Linked DNA regions of Sus scrofa. The protein of the gene in region 5 purifies or fractionates together with the protein of the main gene of each other region. This does not show direct contact. Links are inferred from orthologs where the notes say so. Each region holds a gene or a part of one and is shown on either strand. Other genes may lie near its edges.

Region 1 (4,092 bases), on a different chromosome or scaffold from region 5:
TAGAACTGAGGGCTCCCATGTACCCTTCATTCACTTTCTTTTAATGTTAACATCTTACGTAACCATGTACATTTGTCACGAGGAAGAAATCAACATTGGTAGACTGCTGGTCACTAACTAGAGAATGTATTCAGAGTCCGCTTTTTTTTTTTTTTTTTTTTTCCATGAACATCCAAGCTCAAATCCAGGTATGACACTGCATTTAGTATTTTGCTGTTTTTCAAGAGTAGGAGTTAACTCAGTGATATTCGTCTTATACAAGTTTTACAAGAAGAGTTTAAACTTTTCTAGTCAACTGAACCAGTCTGAAAAGCGTAAAAACTCGATTGTATTTCTTTTATTGCAAATCAAATACACACACACAAACCTTATGATCCAGCTGTAATTTGTTGTTCATAATACTTTAGGGACAGAAACCATAAATTATATTTATTATATTTGTATGTTTTAATACAGTTAAAAACACAGTTGCTTATACATTCTCCTTAGTACTGGAAATAAGTCTGGAGTCAACACAGTTGGATCTGCTCACACTGTGAGCAGGATGGGATAAGGATGGGGAGGAAGTTTTGTCTGTGTGGCTGCCCATGGAAAACTCAGTTTATTCATTTATTTTTAATTTTATTGGAGTATAGTTGACGTAAACGTTGTAGTAATTTCAGGTGTACAGCAAAATACATATAAACTCAATTTAAAAAGGCAGAGAAAGAGGTGATGCCATCTGTCAAATTGGCGGTTCCTTTTCCTCAACCTTTTTCCTTTAAAGACCCGTATAAACTAAATGATTCTGTAGGTGAGATTGTGACTTTCACTTGCAAGTTCTCACTTGCAGTGCTGTTAAAACACGGAGATGCATTTCCTAATTTGTAAGTACAACAGACCTCATAGCTCTGTAGAGAAAGCGAAATAATGACATTTCAAAATCTACTTTGAGTTCTAAGTGCCTGTAATCACTTTTTTCCCCTTGCACCAAAATTAGTCTGTGTACGACCCAGATGGGACTCGAACCCACAATCCCCAGCTCCGGAGGCTGATGCCTTATCCATTAGGCCACTGGGTCACCACAGGATCCGCGTTCTCACACCATCTCCTTACGCGATGCCATCATCGCGCCCCGCCCCCGAGCTTGGCGGCCTCACGTCGGGCGGCGTGGGATTTGGGAGCCGCCCCCAGCGACGGCAAAATGCGCCTGCGCTCTCGGCCCCGCCCGCCCTCAGCCCCGCCCACCAACCTAGCCTCCCCGCGCATGCGCGTTGTCCTCCCCACCCGCCTTCCCCGATGGTGCGTGGCCTGCCTGCGGGATTCTCTGCGCCGCAGTGAGTGGCCTCCTACCTGTTGGGTTCTTACGGTAAAGGTCTCAGCACTGGCTGCATACTAGATATTAAGCGCACTTGGGGAATTGTAAAGAAAATTCCGAAGCCTGTCCTCCATCCCACCCCGTTCTAATTCTATTCACCTGGGTAGGCCCAGGCCTCTGCATTTTACAGAGTTCAGGCCCCTTCCTCTGCCGGAAGGTTCTCCTGCATCCCCCTCAACCTTTCCTTCTTTATCAAACTACTTCTTTTTCATTCTTGCATTTAGTCAACGTACATTAATTGGATAACCCATTAAGGAAGGCAACTGTTAGGTCGTTGCAGGGTGAACAAAATTTTCTTCAAATTTGCCCGTCTAGGTTTGAATGCCATTTGTTCCTGTGTGAACCTGACAAGTTACTTAACCACCCGCTCTTCTCTTCTGTGAAATGGAACAGATAGTAATACTACCTCACAGAATTGTGAAGATGAATTTTCATATCGGTAATACCAAACACTTCTAGGCACGTAATACCGATATTTTCATGCAAAAGAAAGCCCAATTACACTAACTTAAACAACAAAGGAAGTGATGATATAATTATCACAAAGGATGATATAATTGCAGCCTTCTGAGGTAGGTCAGGATGGTGATCAAAGCTTTCATGGTTTCTCTACAATTGTCTTAACTCAAATTTCTAGAACTCACATCACTCAGTTCGGAACAGAGCCTGCTTTCCCACCTCCAATCATTAAACAAAAAGCATAGGCTTCACAACTGGATGAAATTAGGTCAGATGACTGCCCCTGAGCCATTCATTGTAGCAAAGGGAATGCCTTGCAGTGACTGGTTTACAGGTGAATTCCTTCCACGTTTTCGCATTTGGGCAGATAGGATTATACTGATTGGGTAGGTGAGAGGAGACAACCTCCTGTGATTCCCTTGGCTGCTACACAGTGCATGAAGCTGGCAAAAATGCCTGCAAGAAGAGACGAAGACCATTGTTTGAATTTATAGTAAAAAACACACAAACAACAAAACCAATACAGCTTTTCTTAAAAATACCCTTTTCAGAATACGGAAAAATTATGAAAACAAAGTGGCCTATAACACTGACATTACGAGAACCATCACTGATGCTTTTTTAAAAATTACAAGAAAATGCAAGCATTTTATTCAGAAATGTATAAATTGTAGCATAAGTCATTACTGGAACAACTGACAAAATTTGAACATGGACTATATAATAAATCACATCGAAGTTCAGATGTCTTGAATTTGATGATTGTGGAGTGGTTATATAACAGAATGTCCTTATCCTTCCAAGGTGCAACCCAAAATATTTAGGGATAAAGGGACATGATTTCTCAAACTTACCCTTCAAAAGGTTGAAAAGTATCATGTAAAAGCTATGCATATGGGCCTACTAGTACGTGTGGGTATTTACACAGAGAAAGAAATAGTAAATGTGGCAAATGTTAACACTTGGCAAATATGCATAAAGATTTATAGTTCTTTTGTATTTGAAAATAAAAAATAAGACTGGAGAAACAGATGTAGTAAACCTTTTGTTACCATTACTTGTGCCGTCTATGCAGTCTTTTATGATGCAAGTTAGAAGAAAAAAAAAACTAAACTAAAAAGTGCAGCACAAATCTGCTTTATCCATCCCCTCCTTGGTGGCCCTGCTAACCTTTGGTGGCCTTTTTCTTCTGAGTCCTATCAGAGAAAAAAATACATAGCAATGTATTTCTATATCGAAATTTTAAAAATTATTTGGGGAATCATTTGTGGTTCTCTTAAGGCAGACGCCAAGGGTAACGACCAACCACTGTACACGAGTAAACCCTCGGTAAAGGACCGAGGCTATGGCCAAGGCGGGCTGGAAACTAGCCCTTCGCGCTGCACGCCGGGACCTGAAGGCTGCCGCCTCCGAACTGCGGGGCGCTCTGGGATCGCCCGGCCGCTCCCTCATCTCGCGATGCTATCGTATCTTCTGGGCCCTCTGACCCCTCCCAACGTGTTTTTCAAATCCACCAATGGACGTCTAGCATAAGCTCGAACCAGCCAATCGGAATGCGGAGCCACCGGGAAATTTAAATCGCGCCGGCTGCACGAGCCACACTGTCCTCGCGCTGACCGTGGTGGACGTTTTGAGAGACCCTGAGCCGCAGCCTGAGCGCCCCTGACCGCCTCCTGTGGAAGCCTGAGCCGGCTGTGTAGGTACGAACCTAGGCCGCAGTCCGGCCTGAGTGGCAACGGCTGGCCTGTAGGCCGGGCTCGGCTTGTGGGTGGCGGGAGGGAAGGCCCGGGCTATACGCCTGGCCTAGCTTTGGCTTCTTTGGTTGACGAGGCCTTTGGGGTCGTTCGTTTACGAGACGGGTGTTTGGGGATGCGGGTGCTTGGGTTTTAGGGCCCGAGGCTCTGCAAACCGCCGCAATGGCATTTACTCGAGAATCAGAGTGAGGCCCGAGGGCGAAAGCCCAAGTAGGTTGCCGGGCGCCTCTGGCTCCTCCTCCGTCAGTTCCCGGCTGCTCCTTCCCCGAAATGGGGCGGGGAGGGGGGAGCAGGGGAAGGGACTGGAGATGGAGGTGGCAGTTGGAAGTGCTGTCTCTTAAAACACGTCGGCCCTGGGTTGGTTGTGTCACTATTTCGTAAAAGAACAAAATGAAATTAAAGATAGCCCCCTCCCCCCCTTAGGAGGACTTTTCCTTTTGTGATCTTTTGGGGAGTGCGCTTAAGTAGCCACGTCTGAGTGAAGCACAGCTGGGGATATCAACCTAATTTGGTGCATTCACT
Region 2 (4,253 bases), on a different chromosome or scaffold from region 5:
ACTCACTGCACCCGAGCAGCTGCTCAGTGGTCCCCAAGCCCCACCTCCCTCTTGGGACCACCCTTGTCCCCTTGGCAAAGCCAGAGACCCTTTCGTCTGTCCCCAAACTAAATTAACTCTTGACCTGAATATAACAACCACTTTCACTTCACCAAACACCCTGGGAAGGAACGAACACGGCAAAAGCGGCAAAAGATGTCTCCTTGCGTTGTGTTGTCTGTGGTGACAGCAGTGGCGAATGACAGAGAGAAGTGAGTGGCAAAAAGCATTACCTCCAGCACTGACTTTAAAACATTTGGACAAAAGCAAATACGGAAACATGTCATTTCCGGTTTGACCTGCTAGATGGGAGAGTGGTTTTATAACATTCCATTCTTTTGTTGGCTTGAGAATAAAGGTCTTCGAATAAAAGATCTTAACACATCTCTCAGTCCCACGTGTTTCACAGTGACTCTCACCTGGACAGGAAGCTGTGCTCTTTTTTCTCACCAAACCTTTGACAGACGTCTCGTGTACAAACATGGGCCCAAACTGACTAGCCTTTCCCCATTAACTTTCTTGGGGAAAGGAAATCAAACGCTGGGGATGCTATGCAGGTATCTCTAAGGACCTGCCAAGGCCAGCAAGCAGTCAAAACTCGAGGGCGGGCAGGGGCACTCACAGTCCGGGCAGCAGCCATTGAAGGCCATCCGGCAGATACCGCAGTTCTCGTCGTTGGCCACCCAGAGCCACGTGGCCACGCCGTTCCAGCACTTGATCTTCACCTTCATGGCGCGGGAGCCTGCGGGAGGGAAGAGACCCCCGGGGTTCCGGTGAGGCTGCTGAGCTACAGCACTTGGGAGCCAAAGAAGAGGTTCCGCCCCGAGCCCTCTAGAGGGTCGGGGAGGGCAGGAGTCGCCTCCGGCAGGGCAGCACAAACTGTCAGCGAGGCGGCTGGGGCAAGGGCCGGGTCCCCGGGAGGACCGGGCGCTCAGCGCATCTCCCAACGCCGCGCTTCTGCCCGGGCGTCCACGGAAGGGGGCGTCGGCTTCCGTTAACCACTGCAAAATCCTGCCGTGTGTACGTCTGAAAGGGACATGACTGTCGAGGTCAGGAGGAGAGCCAAACCCCTCCCTGCAAGACACCCGCGGAAACAAGCCCCCGGCCTGCGCGGCCGCTCCCCCCGCCTCCGCGGACCCGAGCGCGGGTTCGGGGCGGGGGGAGGGGCAGGACCCGGTTAGGACGTGCAAGGAGGGGCAAGGGAGGGGCGGAAGCCCGGCCCCGCCCAACGGCCGCACCCCCACTAACCAAATCACGCGCTGCCCCACCCGCCTTCCGTTGGCGGCGCCGGCGCCCGCGCGGGAAGGTATATAAACGACCGCGGCTGCGGACAGGCACTTCTCAGCGGCGCCCGCCGAAGCCCGGGGTCCAGCGCGCACGCCCCGCCCCGCCCCCCGACGCCGCCGCCGCCTCGCAGCCAATCCGCGGCCGCTCCGAGGACGCAGGCCCGGAAAAGGCCGCGCGGCGCAGGAAGTGACGCGCCGGCGTGCTGACGCGCGGGCTCCAGCCGAGGCCGATTCCGCGCCCGCCATGGCCGACAAAATGGATATGTCTCTGGACGACATCATTAAGCTGAACCGGAGCCAGCGAGGCGGCCGCGGCGGGGGCAGGGGCCGCGGCCGGGCCGGCTCCCAGGGCGGCCGCGGCGGCGGGGCGCAGGCTGCCGCGCGAGTGAGCCGAGGCGGCGGACCCATTCGGAACCGGCCGGCCATCGCCCGCGGCGCGGCGGGCGGCGGCAGGAACCGGCCGGCGCCCTACAGCAGGGTGAGTGCGGAGGCCGGCTGGCGGGCCGCGGCCGGGGGGCGGGCAGGCAGCGCGACGCGGGAGCAGCGGGCGGGCCGGGCCGGGGGGGTGGGGGCGCGGGCGCCGGCCGGGCGGACGGGGGAGGTCGCGCGCCAGCCGGGCCCCGAAGCGAGACCCCACCGGCCTTTGTTTGGGCTGGACGCCGGGCCTCGTGGCGCCGGGGGCCGAGGAGACGTTGGCGCGGCCGCCCTGGCGGCGGGAAGTTAGTTGGAGGGAACCGAGAAGTTGCGGGAAGTGCGGCCCCGCGGGCGGGAAGCGGGGGCTGCGGGCCCCTCTCGGTGCCTTCCTCCCGGGCCGCGATGGGGGAAGGTCTTGTGGCCGTGGGGGCGAGGGCGAGTCCTGGAGCGCGACTTATGGGTCTTTTTCTGTCGCGTTTTCTTTTTCTTTAGCCGAAACAGCTTCCTGACAAATGGCAACACGACCTTTTCGACAGCGGTTTTGGGGGTGGTGCCGGCGTGGAGACCGGTGGGAAACTGTTGGTGTCAAATCTGGATTTTGGCGTGTCCGACGCTGATATTCAGGTAAGAGACTGGAGCTTCTCCTCGGGAGCAGCTCACCCTGTACAGCACTGACTGTGGTGTTTGGGACGGGCCGGGACCCTGAATCCGCACCCACCTTGGGACAGTGAGCCCCTCCCAGGCCCTCGAGGGCTGGCCACCACTGCTCCCTGGAAGGGGCTGCTGGAGTGCATAGCAAAGGCCAAGCTAGAGCTGAAAGTCCAACTGCTGGTTCAGTTTGCGCTGGAAGACAGGCCCGGGTCGGGCCGGGCCGAGGCACCGCGGCTTTGGTAGCTAAGCATCCGCCGTGGGGGTGAGGAGCCTCTGCCTGCCCTTTTCTGGCAAGTGTGGCTGAACGCGTGTGGTTCTGCGTCCCTGAAAGAGCGCGGCTGTCTGCGGCTTTATTTCGTGCCCGTTTTAGTGATGCTTTGGGAGGAGAAAGCCCTTTCTCTGCAGGGCTGACAAAGTGCAGAAGCAGAGTGCTACAGGCATCTCTGGTCCCCTCTGCCTTAAGCCCCGTGGAACTGGGTCCCGGTCTTTCTCTCACCTATGCTCACGCTCTGGGTCTCGTTAGCGGCGCAAGTGTTTATTTAGTCTCGTCTTCGACTCAAGCCTCTTTTCTTTTCCGTTTCTTTTTCTCTTTTTTAAATCCACTCTCCAAGGCACTTGAACTGGTTTTCTCGTGAAGTAATGCCGTTTTGGGGGTCAGTCCTGCAGATGGCTGGGTCCGGGTGAGGGGCCTTCCTGGGTTCGGTCTCCCAGAGCCCAGCCGTTTTACTTAGCCGTGGGGGGACAGAGCAAGGCCAGTGAGCGCTCACAGTGTCTCCACACTTTTTTTAAGGTGGTTTCTGGCATCCACTGGAAACCGCTTTTGGTGAACTCCACTTCCCGCTGTGTGCCTGCGGCCGGAGTAGCCCCACACTCTGGGTTCCCTCTCCAACTCCCAGCCTGCCTGAGGTCAGGGCAGTTTCCATGGCAGCGCTTGACTTCAGACTTTGCGGCAGGCTTGAGTAGGAGGAGAGGGAAAGGTGAGCCCGAATCTGCCCGGGGGAGGGGCTGGGTCAGGGCTCCCGAGTCAGCGGGCCCTTCGAGCTGATCCACCTTGGCTTAGAGCCCCTCGCTCTGTGATCTTGGCCTTTGCAGCTTCTCGGCGCAGTCCTCGGGCGTGTCGTAGGTCTTCCTCTGTAGAAGGCGAGGGCCACTTAATCTCGCGCCCTTCCCCGCGGGCTTTGTGATGCTTTACCTGCACTGTGGTACCTGTGTCAGGTCCCCCGACTGGCAGGAGCCCTCAGGCCCAACGGCTCCTGCCTGGAAGTTGCTGTCCCCCTGCCCCATCCCATCCCCCAGTTCCCGCTACCACTGCCCTGCCCCCCCCACACGTGACGTCTGCCTCCCAGGTAGATACCCCAAAGCAGTGCACACTTCCAGGGAGTGTCCCTGGGCTGCCAGGAAGAAAAGGGCTTCGCTGACGAGTGCTCTTTCGGACTCACAGGAACTCTTTGCTGAGTTTGGAACTCTGAAGAAGGCGGCTGTGCACTATGACCGATCGGGCCGCAGTTTGGGGACCGCTGATGTGCACTTTGAGCGGAAAGCAGACGCCCTGAAAGCTATGAAGCAGTACAACGGCGTACCCCTGGACGGTGCGTACCCCTGGACGGTGCGTGGCCCTGGACGGTGCGTCGGGAGCCGCGCCCAGAAAGGCCTCGGGCGCCAGGAGTGGGGCCGCCTGTGCCTGAGGACACTTGGCCGTCGCCCCTTTTTCTCCCTCTTCCCGTTCTGCCGTCTCACGCTCCCCCGCGCACCTGGACCAGCCTCTCGTGAACCCCCTCCAGCAAGCAAGCCCCAGTCCTCCCCTCCTGCAGCTCCTTGCAGGAGACTCCCTTCTGCGAAGGCCCTTCAGAACCGCCGTAGTCC
Region 3 (4,193 bases), about 90 Mb from region 5:
GCTGCCACAGGACTGTAATATGACTCTTTTATTTCCCATGTTAAGGAATTGACTTGAATTCCTCTCAGAAATCGATAAGATTGCATTTGGCCATGTTACATACCCTGCTTGACAAGCAACAATATTTAGATTTTATCAAATATTGGAAATGAACTGATAATTGACTGGCTTCTATCAAAAGGTAGCATTTGGATTAAAAAGGATGTCAAGCGTCTCAGAGTGGAATTAGAAGACTGGGTTAACTCCTGGCACTAGCATTTACAGAAGTGTAAACTTGGTAAATCTTTTCACCTCTGAAATGGTTTTAATTTGTGAAAAGGGAAACCTACCTAACAGGTTGTTGACATTAAGGTCATTCATAGCCTCTGAACATAGAGATGCATTTTTTTCCCCTATATTTTGCGTTACTGGAAAAAGGTTTAAAAATTATGACAACACATTTAAACTTAGTGTTACCAAATATGCTTGAATATGCATCGACACTCTATGATCTCAAAGGACTTTAATATTTTCAACTAATAATGACAGTCAATTCGCTGACATTTTCCTCCCCTCAATGCACTTTTTAGCACACCACACATTCATTCGGTTGCTCTAAAATGTTACTTCTTTGGCACATTTTACAAACACCCAATCTGTACCTTTCCGGACACTAACGGACAATCAGATTGACTCTAGAAAGTGTTTCTTCTATAAGCAACGCCTTTTCGAGGTTTGCCCAGGGTCTGGCTAGCGCCGCACTGTCGGGAGTTAACAGCAAATAAAGCACCGGTCGCAAGCGCGCAACACTCACATATAATACTTCAACTTGTCTTTTAGGTTAATTCTGCTGCTCGAGTTCAAGTCCCCGCGAGAGGAAGCGTATTCCGCTTCACATTAAGCAGAAGAGTCTCGATTCATTAATGGGGCTGCAGGAGGGAGACGCCAGCAACTGAGTAGCTGGGGCACTTGGAAGAGAGCGGCACCTCTGCAACCCCTCGAAGTTTGTTTCCATTTATAAGACTGGTAGCCACCTTGACCCTCCTAGAGAGGTGGGGAAAGTTAGCCCTGGACCGGAGGCGGGAAGTAAAACCGAAGACTGAGAACTTTCGCGAGGAAAACACGCCTTCACGTTTTCCTGTTTTCAGCGCAGCTCAAGACCCAGAGAGTTTAAGGGTGGTGAGAGCAGGTGGCAGAACTCCGCCCACCACCGCGCTTCTCCTCCCTCAGCTTGCACGCTCCACTCCCTCGGTGAGGTCCCGCCTCTGAGGCGCGCGCGAAGAGTTGTCGCGCCGTGAACTCTGGGAATCGTAGTGCTGGCTCTGGGAATCGCCACGGGAAAAGCGACTCTTGCCTACATACCCCGTGGTGCCTTGCGGCGCTGGCCGCTACCGGATGTGTGCCTGGCGCCGGAAGAGAAGACGGCCCCCCTCTCGCAGCCCGGCCATCTTGTGGGAAGAGCTGAAGCAGGCGCTCTTGGCTCGGCGCGGCCCGCTGCAATCCGTGGAGGAACGCGCCGCCGAGCCACCATCATGCCTGGGCACTTACAGGAAGGCTTCGGCTGCGTGGTCACCAACCGATTCGACCAGTTATTTGACGACGAATCGGACCCCTTCGAGGTGTTGAAGGCAGCAGAGAACAAGAAAAAAGAAGCCGGCGGGGGCGGCGTTGGGGGCCCTGGGGCCAAGAGCGCAGCTCAGGCCGCAGCGCAGACCAACTCCAACGCGGCGGGCAAACAGCTGCGTAAAGAATCCCAGAAAGACCGCAAGAACCCGCTGCCCCCCAACGTTGGCGTGGTTGACAAGAAGGAGGAGACGCAGCCGCCTGTGGCGCTTAAGAAAGAAGGTAAAGCTGTGGTGGAAGCCACGGAGACCCGGGATGGAGGGAAGGACTGAGGGGACTTGTAGCTACCACTTGCTTCTGGGGTCCGAGGGTCCACGGGAGGCTTTGCCGCCGATTTTCTCGCGTTTCCCCCACACGACAAAGCCAGGTCTTCCGAAGGTGCTGGGAGCGTGGTAGCCCCAAGTTCAAACCGCCGCCTGCAAGGATCCTGGAGCCACCCCCTTCCCGCCTCAGCCTCTGAGCGGAGGAGCGTGGTCCGGAGACGAGCTGCTGCTCGAGCGTGCTCGGGATCCTGAGAGGCTCTTGTCTTCCCGCCGGATTCCTGGGCGGGCGGGCAGGCGCATGGACCGGGGCTCGGGGAAGGGAGCTGCTTCCACGGGCATTTGTAGTTAGCGGGGCAGCAGGGACTCGGCGGCTTCTTCCTGTCGGAGCTCTCCTGCAGCCTGCTGCTTCGAGGTGCGATTGTCTCTCTTAGGCTCCTGTCCTGCCATCTTGTCCCAGGATGGCGCGAGGTACCCTGAGCAAAGCCGGGGGTCGGAGTTTCCACCAAAGCTACCCATCCTCTCGAGCCTATCGGATATCGTGGAGAAAGCTGCCTTTCTTTGTAGGTGCCGCATGTGGCTTTATTTTTCCCTCTTCGTCCCTTTAATCGTTACAAACTTAATAACTGGCTGGAAGGAGTTAAGCTGTTGGGAGGGAGAGAAATTTGGCCACTCCGGGTTGAACAGGAGCGGGAATTCCCACTGACGACCGGTGATAGCACCTGAGGCTCGTCCTGGGATTATGATCCTTTCCCCCCCGTAGGACCCCTTCCCGCAGGCGCTGTTTCATGTGGTGTGTGGCCTGGCCTGGGCCTCGTGGTGAAAGAAACGCGGAGACTGTCACAGCGTTGGCCGCCGCGGAGCCGTTTTGAGTCTGTACCTTTTCTCCCCATGTGCGTGAAGCGTGGTCAGGATTTCATTGGCGGCTAGCAGTTGCTTCCAGGTCACTGTAAATACTTCGCAGGATTGTTTTGAATTTGGTATATGCATTCTCGGTACTGGTTTGTCCTTTGCAGTGGATTAAACCCAGACATTTTGGGAAAAGCAAGTGTACGTACATGACCTATAGCAAATCGGTGTATAGGACCTAAGCGTAGAATCTTAAAGGTTTCCTTTGTGTGTTGAAAGTTGAAAATTTTCTTTAGTGCCACGTGCTTCTGAAAGGAGTTCTTACTACCTTAATTGAATTTGATAATACTCAACTAAAAAGTCCAAACAATTGTGTTATGTTTTAATTTGGAATTTTTAAAAAATATAGAGAGCTTTATGAGGTTTGGGACGAAGAACCTAGGTGGTAAATGAAAGAATTAATTGTATTAAAATTACTGGTTGGTGAGGGATGCACAAATTTGAGTATTAGAAAGCGTGTATACATTGCTCAGGCCAAATATCCATGCAGTCAACTAAGCCTTATAGCTACCTGTAGCACAATCTAATAAACCATTTAATTTCTATGTTAAGGAACATTGGCTTATGTAATTAAGCTATACTCAGTTTACCTCCTTCATCACACTAATCCAAAGAAGAGTACATGAAAAAATTGAATCAAGTGTGTTCACCCATTTTGACTGTTGAAAGCATGAAGCATGGCTAAATATCTCATGTTTTGATTATAAAGTCCATCTTTGAAATAAGCTCTTACCTGGAAACTAGTGTTTTAAATTACAGAGTTAGAAAGTTATTCTATAAATTTATAACCAAGGCTGAGTGTTCATTCAGTGGTCTATCCTTGGGAAAACTTCCATTGTTAGCTATCAGCATTTTCCTTAGGTCAGCATTTCTAACCTTAACTTGCATTAAACACTGGCTTATAAATATAGTGAAAATGGTGAATGAAAAAAATTTTGTTTTGAGATCTTACTACTTGGCAGTCAGTGTTCTGGGGTTGGGAAAGGAAAGAACTGTAAACAAAGTCTCCTTCTTGTACTGGGAAGGATTTTTATCCTGATCCTGTGTTCTCTGCCTTTGAGTAGAGGTCCTGGCACAATTCTAGACATGCCTTACATATGTGTTTAATGATTATATTTTATGAATTTCGTAGTTTGTTTTTTGCACACTTGAGGAACTTGAGAATTGACACCAAAGAATATCACTGAGTATACCAAGGTGTTTTTGTTTTTGGTTTAATATTAAAAGCCTGGAAGCTAGTAAAAAGAGAAGCTTGCATTTTAAAATATCAGTCATTGGGTGAAAAATTTTCAATTCTGTAAGCTAACCTAATGTTGAATATTGGGGTGGGGAATCAAGCCATTGTTCATTTGGGCGTGTGTGTGTTTTGGATATTATTAGGATTGGTTCCGTAGCTCCACCCCAATACACTGCTTCTGATGA
Region 4 (3,512 bases), about 11 Mb from region 5:
TGGATTTTTTTTTTTTTTTTCTGTCTTTTGAGGGCTGCACCTGTGGCCTATGGAGGTTCCTAGGCTAGAGGTCCAATCAGAGCTGTAGTTGCTCGCCTACACCACAGCCACAGCCACGCCATGCCAGATCTGAGCCATGTCTGCAACCTCCACCACAGCTCTCGGCAACACCAAGATCCTTAACCCACTGAGCAAGGCCAGGGATCGAACCCACAACCTCATGGTTCCTAGTCAGATTCCTTTCCTCTGTGCCACGACAGGCATTCCTCTCGGTGGATTTTTAATCTGTCTTTTGAGTACATGGGTGTAGTCTGCATGGTTTTGTTATGCCTTGGAAAGTCTCATGAAGCTTCTCACCCACCCACAGCTTCAGGATGAGATAATCTCTTACTTTGGATGTTTGAGATTTTGTAAAACATTGTATGGTGGTAGTAGTGACGGTGGTAAGGTTAGGAGCGAAACTGATTTATTTGTAATTTTCTTAGTCTAGCTTTTTGTAATTCTTTCTAGCCTTCTTTTTGGTTAAAGGACAAAATGTAGGACCTTGTCACTTTATCACTCATTCCGTGATAAAGTATAGTTTGGCCATCAGAGAAAGAGGAACCTCAGCTAGGGCATTCTACATCTTTTCCTTTATCATGTCTGTGTTCCTGTCCCCATCCACCAAGTTGGAGGGTGCCTGGGAAAATTTCTCAGCATGCTACATATGGATTCTGGAATTGGTCTTCCAGTTTAGACTAACTCATTGAGTATCTGAATGATATTTTTTATTAAAGCTTTATGGTATGGGCTTGAGGCATTTTCCTAGTTTAAGGTTATCTTAACTTTAATCTTCTTTAGTTTTAGGGAGGAATGTTCTGCAAACCTACACCTAGGTCACCATCTTTTCTAAAAGTCTTATAAGCACTGGAAATAATTTTTAGGATTTTTTTAAATTTTTTTTGGTCTTTTTTCTATTTCTTTGGGTCGCTCCCGCGGCATATGGAGGTTCCCAGGCTAGGGGTCGAATCGGAGCTGCAGCCGCCAGCCTCCGCCAGAGCCACAGCAACTTGGGATCCAAGCCGCGTCTGCAACCTACACCGTAGCTCACGGCAACGCCGGATCATTAACCCACCGAGCAAGGGCAGGGACCGAACCCGCAACCTCATGGTTCCTAGTCGGATTCGTTAACCACCACGCCACAACGGGAACTCCAGGTTTTTTTTTTTTAAAGGCATCATTGAAACTGAAATTTGAAACTTTGCACAGTGTTAAGGGGCTTACTTCCTCTAGGATACTCTTTAAATGGATACTATCTGATACTGCAAACTTTCCTATTTGGAGCTTCTGTGGAGATGTTCACATTTTTAGAAGTCTTTTAAGAATTCATAAGATTCTCAGAGTTCCTGTCGTGGCGCAGTGGTTAACAAATCCTACTAGGAACCATAAGGTTGCGAGTTCAATCCCTGGCCTCACTCAGTGGGTTAAGGATCTGGCGTTGCTGTGAGCTGTAGTCTAGGTCACAGATGCAGCTTGGATCCCTTGTTGCTCTGGCTCTGGTGTAGGCTGGCAGCTACAGCTCCACTTGGACCTCTAGCCTAGGAACCTCCATATGCCGCAGGTGCAGCCCTAGAAAAGACAAAAAGACCAAAAAAAAAAAAAAAAAAGAATTCATAAGACTCTCTTGGAGTTCACTGGTGACTCAGTGGGCTAAGGATCTGGTGTCGTTGCTGCTATGGCTCGGGTTCAGTCCTTGGCCCAGAAACTTCTGTATGCTGCAAGCGCAGCCAAAAAAAAAGACTCTCTTAAGGAATTGGTTTAAAATGCAGATATCTGCACCCTTTTCCCAGAAAGTCTGAGTCAGTAGGTTTTTTAAGAGGATCCCAGAAATCTTATTAGCTAGCTCACCCTAATGCAGGTGGTCCACAGTTCAGCTTTGAATACTGCTATCTTTTTTATTTTTTATTATTTTACAGCCACACATGCAGAACATGGAAGTTCCTGGGCCAGAGTGAATCCCAGCCACAGCCGCGAACTAGGTTGCAGCTACAGCAATGCTAGATCCTTTAACCCACTGAGCCAGGCCCGGTATCAAACCCCTGCCTCTGCAGTGACCTGAGCCCTGGCATTTGGATTCTTAACCCACTGCACCACAGTAGGAACTCCTTAAGTAATGCTATCTTAAGTGTTAAAATAATCAGATTTAATATGAGATAGGTATTTTAGTTAACTAGAGCATTTCAGGCTGTCCAATGGGCTGAATAGGTGATAGCTGCTTTCCTTAGCTTCTAGAGGACAAACTCACCAAGAGAGATGTTCTTTCTGTTGTCTCATCTTAAGCTCGAAGTTCAGTTTCTCGAATTTGGCACTTTTTGTAGATTGGAAATCTTCACTCACTCCCTGCCCCCCGCCCCAAAAATATTACACAGGTTGCCGGTTTTTTGTTTTGCCAAATAAGGACATTAAAAATAAATCAACGAATATTTTTAATATTTCCTCTTACCACAACCACCAAAGATTTAAGTAAATAAAAATGTAGGAAGAACACAACCATGTAACATAGATAGTCCTTTTTTACAAAATTTTATGGCCATACCCATGGCATTTGAAAGTTCCCAGGCCAGGGATTGAATCTGAGCCACAGCTGTGACTTTTTAAAACTATTTAGCTGCAAATTAATAAATATTTTCTCATGGATGACATTTAAGAACTGCTGCTTAATACTTGAAATAGTGCATTTGTAAGAGCACTACCTGAATGCAATGAATAGAAACTACCTCATATCCTCTGTTTTCTCACCAGTTCGGTCCTTTGGTACAGAAGACAGACCAACAGATCGTCCAATACCACCTCGAGATGAAGTCTTTGAATACATTATATTCCGTGGGAGTGATATTAAAGACCTAACTGTTTGTGAGCCACCAAAACCACAATGTTCTTTGCCTCAGGACCCAGCTATCGTTCAGGTAACATAGTAAATCTGTCTTGGAGTATGGGCAAATTTCACGCACATAACTAGCCTTGGATTTTGCCTCTCCTTGTTTTTGTTTTTTGAATTTTCTCAATTGAATACTCATGTAGTTTATTTATCTAGATACCTTAAATAACTGTATAATGTTCTCACCCAGGTTTTTCTCTTTAGAGCGTAAGTTGGAATTAATAAAGAAATGGCCGAGGAGTTAATTTTTATTATATTGTCTATTTCAGCAACAGTTAAGATAGCTAATATGTATTGAGGTCTAACTTTATAAGAGGCACTATTCAAAGCACTGTATATAAGACAGTCCTCCTTAAGTAATAATATACCCTCTGAGCTTTTACTGTAGTTATTCTCATTTTTGCCAGCAAAGAAATTGAGGTAGAGCCATAGTTTGAATAGATCTAAGACGTCTGCTCCAGGATCCATGCCACTATGTTATTCACATGTGGTTCATATTATAAACCAGGGTGGTGGGAGTTCCCATTGTGGCTCAGAGGGTTAGAAACCTGACGCAGTGTCTGTAAGGATGCAGGTTTGGTCCCTGGCCTCACTC
Region 5 (3,512 bases):
GGGCCCCTGAATCTTCACGGGGTTCGTGTTTGGTGGGGGGGGGGGGACTTAATTTCTAAGGCATGCGTGCTGCCGGGGAAGGGAGCGGGCAGTCCCTCCGCTGGCTACTCACACCCTGGGGGTCGACGCTCCCAGCTGTTGCCTTGGAGACTGAGGCGAGGCTGGCACTGCGCCAGCCGGGCCAGCTCAGGGGCGCGGGTGGGAGTGCGCATGTGCGCTGGGGACTTCAGCCCGAGGTCGGGGCCTGCTGGTCTCTGCCGCCCCCTAGTGGCCGGTGGTGGGACTGTCCGCCAGCTCCTCGGACTCAGAGTGCGGGCTGCCTCTAGACGTTTTTTTGCCTGCGGTGGAGGCTGAGGTCCCAGAAATCACCTAGGACCGGGATGTGTTTTTCTTTTCTTATTGTGATTAAAAAAAAGTGCATAACAGTTTGCCATTTTCACGTATACAGCTCAGTGGCATTAAGTTACTGAGGACTTTTTAAAGCCAAGGACAGCAGGGACTCAGGGCAGTGGTCCATCTGTAAAGATGGGAGTTCAGGAGTTCCCATCGTGGTGCAGTGGAAATGAATGTGACTAGTATACATGAGGATGCGGGTTCGATCCCTGGCCTCGATCATTGGGTCGGGAATCCGGCGTCGTTGTGAGCTGTGGTGTAGGTCGCAGACGCAGCTCCGATCCCCCGTGGCTGTGGCATAGATTGGCAGCTGTAGCACTCATTCGACCCCTAGCCTGGGAACCTCTGTGTGCCTCGGGTACGGCCCTAAAAAGCAAAAAAAAAAAAAAAAAAAGGTGGGAGTTCAGTCCATCCAGTCTGATTTTACAAATAGGGAGATGGAAGCACGTGGAAGGGAAGTGACTTGTTCAAGGGAGTCGAGGAAGCAAGTGCGAGAGCCAAGCTCCAGTGCTTCAAACGGTGCGCGTGTTGGAGGCCGGGGCACCCTGTTTTCCAGCTGGGGATGCAGGCTCCCTCAAGGTGTCTTTGTGCTCCCCCCTTCCCAGGAAATGCTGAAAGATGAGGTGCGCACCCTCACCTACCGAAACTCCATGTTTCACAACCGGCACCTTTTCAAGGACAAGGTGGTGCTGGACGTGGGCTCGGGCACAGGGATCCTCTGCATGTTCGCTGCCAAGGCCGGTGCCCGCAAGGTCATCGGGGTGAGTGTCCTGGGTGGCTGGGCGGGCCCAGGGACGCCAAGGGGACCTTGTGGAGCTCAGGGATTGGGAGGGGGTGGGGGCTGAGGGTGGCACTGGGGGGGTCTCTCACCCTCCCTTCTTCCTGGGCCCCCAGATCGAGTGTTCCAGTATCTCTGATTATGCGGTGAAGATCGTCAAAGCCAACAAGTTAGACCACGGTGAGCCCAGCAAGAGAACGGGCGTGGGGGGAGGGAGTGGACCATCCCCGCTTCCCTGGGGTCCTTGGCAAGGCGACAGGGGCCACTGAACTTGAATTCCTGCCTTCCTCCCCCATGGGCTCTGGGCCGCGGACAGCCCGAGAATTCTGCCTACTCAGAAATGAGCTGTCAAAGTCGCCAGCTTAGTGCCTCGATTTTTGGTGGTTTTTTTTTTTTTTTTTTTTTTAAAGGCAGAGCAAGAAGCAATCTTTAGGGAGTTACCTGGTGGTCCAGGGATTAGGATTTGGTGCTTTCACTGCCGTGGCCCAGGTTGGATCCCTGGTCTGGGAGCTGAGGTCCAACATCAAGTTGCTGCACGTTGCAGGCCAAAAAAATTTAGTAATAATTTCTTTTAAAAGAAAAACAGTCTGTAGTTTTTTCACTGAGTGGTAGAATTCCTTGGTTGACCCCTGAGGGCCCGGGGTGAGAAGCTTCCCGTCTGCCTCGCAGTTGTCCTTCTCGGGCTTCCGCCAACACGTCCTTCCAGAGCCGTCTGCCTCTATGAGCAGGTGGACTTGTGTTTCTACATTCACTGCATAATTTTTTATTTTTTATCAGGTGTGTATTTTTGACACAGATAAACTCAAGTTTTTTTGCCCTTTTTTTTTTTTATTTTATTTTTGCTGAAGTATAGTTGATTTACAGTGTCGTGTTAGTTTTAGGTAGACAGCGAAGTTGGATGTTTTTCTTTTGTCTTTTGTTGGCTGCCCCACACTAGATCCCTAACCCACTGTGCCCAGCGAGGATCGAACCTGTGTCCTGGTGCTCCAGACACCACTGATCCTGTTGCGCCACAGCAGGAACTCCAACAGCAAAAATAGATGTATACACCTTCGTCAGAGTTATTTTCCTTATAGGTTATTAGAAAACATGGAGTTTAGTTGCCTGTGCTGAGCAGTTGGTTGTCTTTTTTTTTTCTTTTTTTTTTTTTCCCCCTCTTTTTAGGGCCACACCCATGGTGTATGGAGGTTTCCAGGCTAGGGGTCCAGTCCGAGCTACAGCTGCCGGCCTACGCCACAGCCACAGCAATGCCAGATCCAAGCTGTGTCTGCAGCCTACATCACAGCTCACAGCTACGCTGGGTCCTTAACCCGCTGAGCAAGGCCAGGGATCGAACCTGCACTTCTGCAGGGACCAGAACCGCTACAGTCAGATCCTTAATCCACTGTGCCACAGGGGGAGCTCCCTACAGCAGCTTTCCTAACCAGATTCCTAGTGATGAGCATTTAAGCTGCTTCTGAGACTTTCATCCCTCCGCATGTACTGTCATTGCCATCTGATAGACGAACTGGTATAGCTGTGAGGTCACTTTTTGAGAGTAGGATTGCATGGGTCAAAAATGAGGAAGGAGGGATTCCCCTTGTAGCTCAGCGGGTTAAGAACCTGACATAGTGTCTGAGGATGCAGGTTCAATCCTTGTCCTTGCTTAACAGGTTAAGGATCTAGCTTTGCCAAAAGCTGCGGCATAGGTCACAGATGTGGCTCAGATCTGGTGTTGCTGTGGTCGTGGCCTTGGCTGGCAGCTGTAGCTCTAACTCAACCCCTAGCCTGGGAGCTTCCATATGCTGTAGGTGGGGTCATAAGAAGGAAAAAAAAAAATGAGGAAGGAGTTCCCTGGTGGCTCAGCAGGTTAAGGATCTGGCATTGCCACTGTAGTGGCTTGGGTCACTGCTATAGTGCAGGTTCAATCCCTGGCCCCATGGTATGGGTGTGGCCAGAAAGAGTAATGTGAAAAGGTTGGGAAGATGGTGGGTTTTCCAGACACGAAGTCTCTTGGCATTCTAGAAACTGAAGGGACTTTTTTTTTTTCCCAAGAGGCTGGTGTAAGAAAGCCTCAAGGACCCATCACATTAGTTTTAAATACCTCCATTTGAAGCAGGTTCCAACTTTGTAATAATACCTGCTGTTTGTACCTCTAAGGCCATTTGAAAACCATGACGTTGGAGTTCCCTGCTGGCACAGGGGGTTAAGGATCCAGGATTGGCAACTGCTGTGGCTCAGGTTTGATGCCTGGCCCGGGAACTTCCTCATACCTCTGGTGCAGCCAAATAAATAAATAAACAACATGACCAAACGATTATATACAGGCTGGATAAACAGCAAGGTCCTGCAGAGAGCCGTG

What was found.
Region 1: the proteins of PRMT1 (region 5) and KPNA2 fractionate together in Homo sapiens (co-fractionation; 3 studies listed by BioGRID, with this or other methods). This does not show direct contact. The link is inferred for Sus scrofa from reciprocal best matches to the Homo sapiens genes PRMT1 and KPNA2.
Region 2: the proteins of PRMT1 (region 5) and ALYREF purify together in Homo sapiens (affinity purification with mass spectrometry; 3 studies listed by BioGRID and IntAct, with this or other methods). This does not show direct contact. The link is inferred for Sus scrofa from reciprocal best matches to the Homo sapiens genes PRMT1 and ALYREF.
Region 3: the proteins of PRMT1 (region 5) and SERBP1 purify together in Homo sapiens (affinity purification with mass spectrometry; 3 studies listed by BioGRID and IntAct, with this or other methods). This does not show direct contact. The link is inferred for Sus scrofa from reciprocal best matches to the Homo sapiens genes PRMT1 and SERBP1.
Region 4: the proteins of PRMT1 (region 5) and LSM14A purify together in Homo sapiens (affinity purification with mass spectrometry; 3 studies listed by BioGRID and IntAct, with this or other methods). This does not show direct contact. The link is inferred for Sus scrofa from reciprocal best matches to the Homo sapiens genes PRMT1 and LSM14A.

Annotation. Positions count from the first base shown.
Region 1 is NC_010454.4:14,281,810-14,285,901, forward strand, and holds the start of KPNA2 (importin subunit alpha-1), read left to right. Parts: upstream 1-1,282; 5' UTR 1,283-1,316; intron 1,317-3,097; 5' UTR 3,098-3,516; intron 3,517-4,092.
Region 2 is NC_010454.4:1,097,793-1,102,045, forward strand, and holds the start of ALYREF (THO complex subunit 4), read left to right. Parts: upstream 1-1,446; 5' UTR 1,447-1,569; coding exon 1,570-1,803; intron 1,804-2,231; coding exon 2,232-2,363; intron 2,364-3,831; coding exon 3,832-3,979; intron 3,980-4,253. Other genes in the region: ANAPC11 (anaphase-promoting complex subunit 11), read right to left, coding at 662-770. UniProt on the Homo sapiens protein: Functions as an mRNA export adapter; component of the transcription/export (TREX) complex which is thought to couple mRNA transcription, processing and nuclear export, and specifically associates with spliced mRNA and not with unspliced pre-mRNA.
Region 3 is NC_010448.4:145,185,322-145,189,514, forward strand, and holds the start of SERBP1 (plasminogen activator inhibitor 1 RNA-binding protein), read left to right. Parts: upstream 1-1,383; 5' UTR 1,384-1,511; coding exon 1,512-1,824; intron 1,825-4,193. UniProt on the Homo sapiens protein: Ribosome-binding protein that promotes ribosome hibernation, a process during which ribosomes are stabilized in an inactive state and preserved from proteasomal degradation.
Region 4 is NC_010448.4:43,864,876-43,868,387, forward strand, and holds part of LSM14A (protein LSM14 homolog A), read left to right. Parts: intron 1-2,781; coding exon 2,782-2,945; intron 2,946-3,512. UniProt on the Homo sapiens protein: Essential for formation of P-bodies, cytoplasmic structures that provide storage sites for translationally inactive mRNAs and protect them from degradation. Acts as a repressor of mRNA translation. May play a role in mitotic spindle assembly.
Region 5 is NC_010448.4:54,721,896-54,725,407, forward strand, and holds part of PRMT1 (protein arginine N-methyltransferase 1), read left to right. Parts: intron 1-998; coding exon 999-1,154; intron 1,155-1,287; coding exon 1,288-1,351; intron 1,352-3,512. UniProt on the Homo sapiens protein: Arginine methyltransferase that methylates (mono and asymmetric dimethylation) the guanidino nitrogens of arginyl residues present in proteins such as ESR1, histone H2, H3 and H4, FMR1, ILF3, HNRNPA1, HNRNPD, NFATC2IP, SUPT5H, TAF15, EWS, HABP4, SERBP1, RBM15, FOXO1, CHTOP, MAP3K5/ASK1, MICU1 and NPRL2.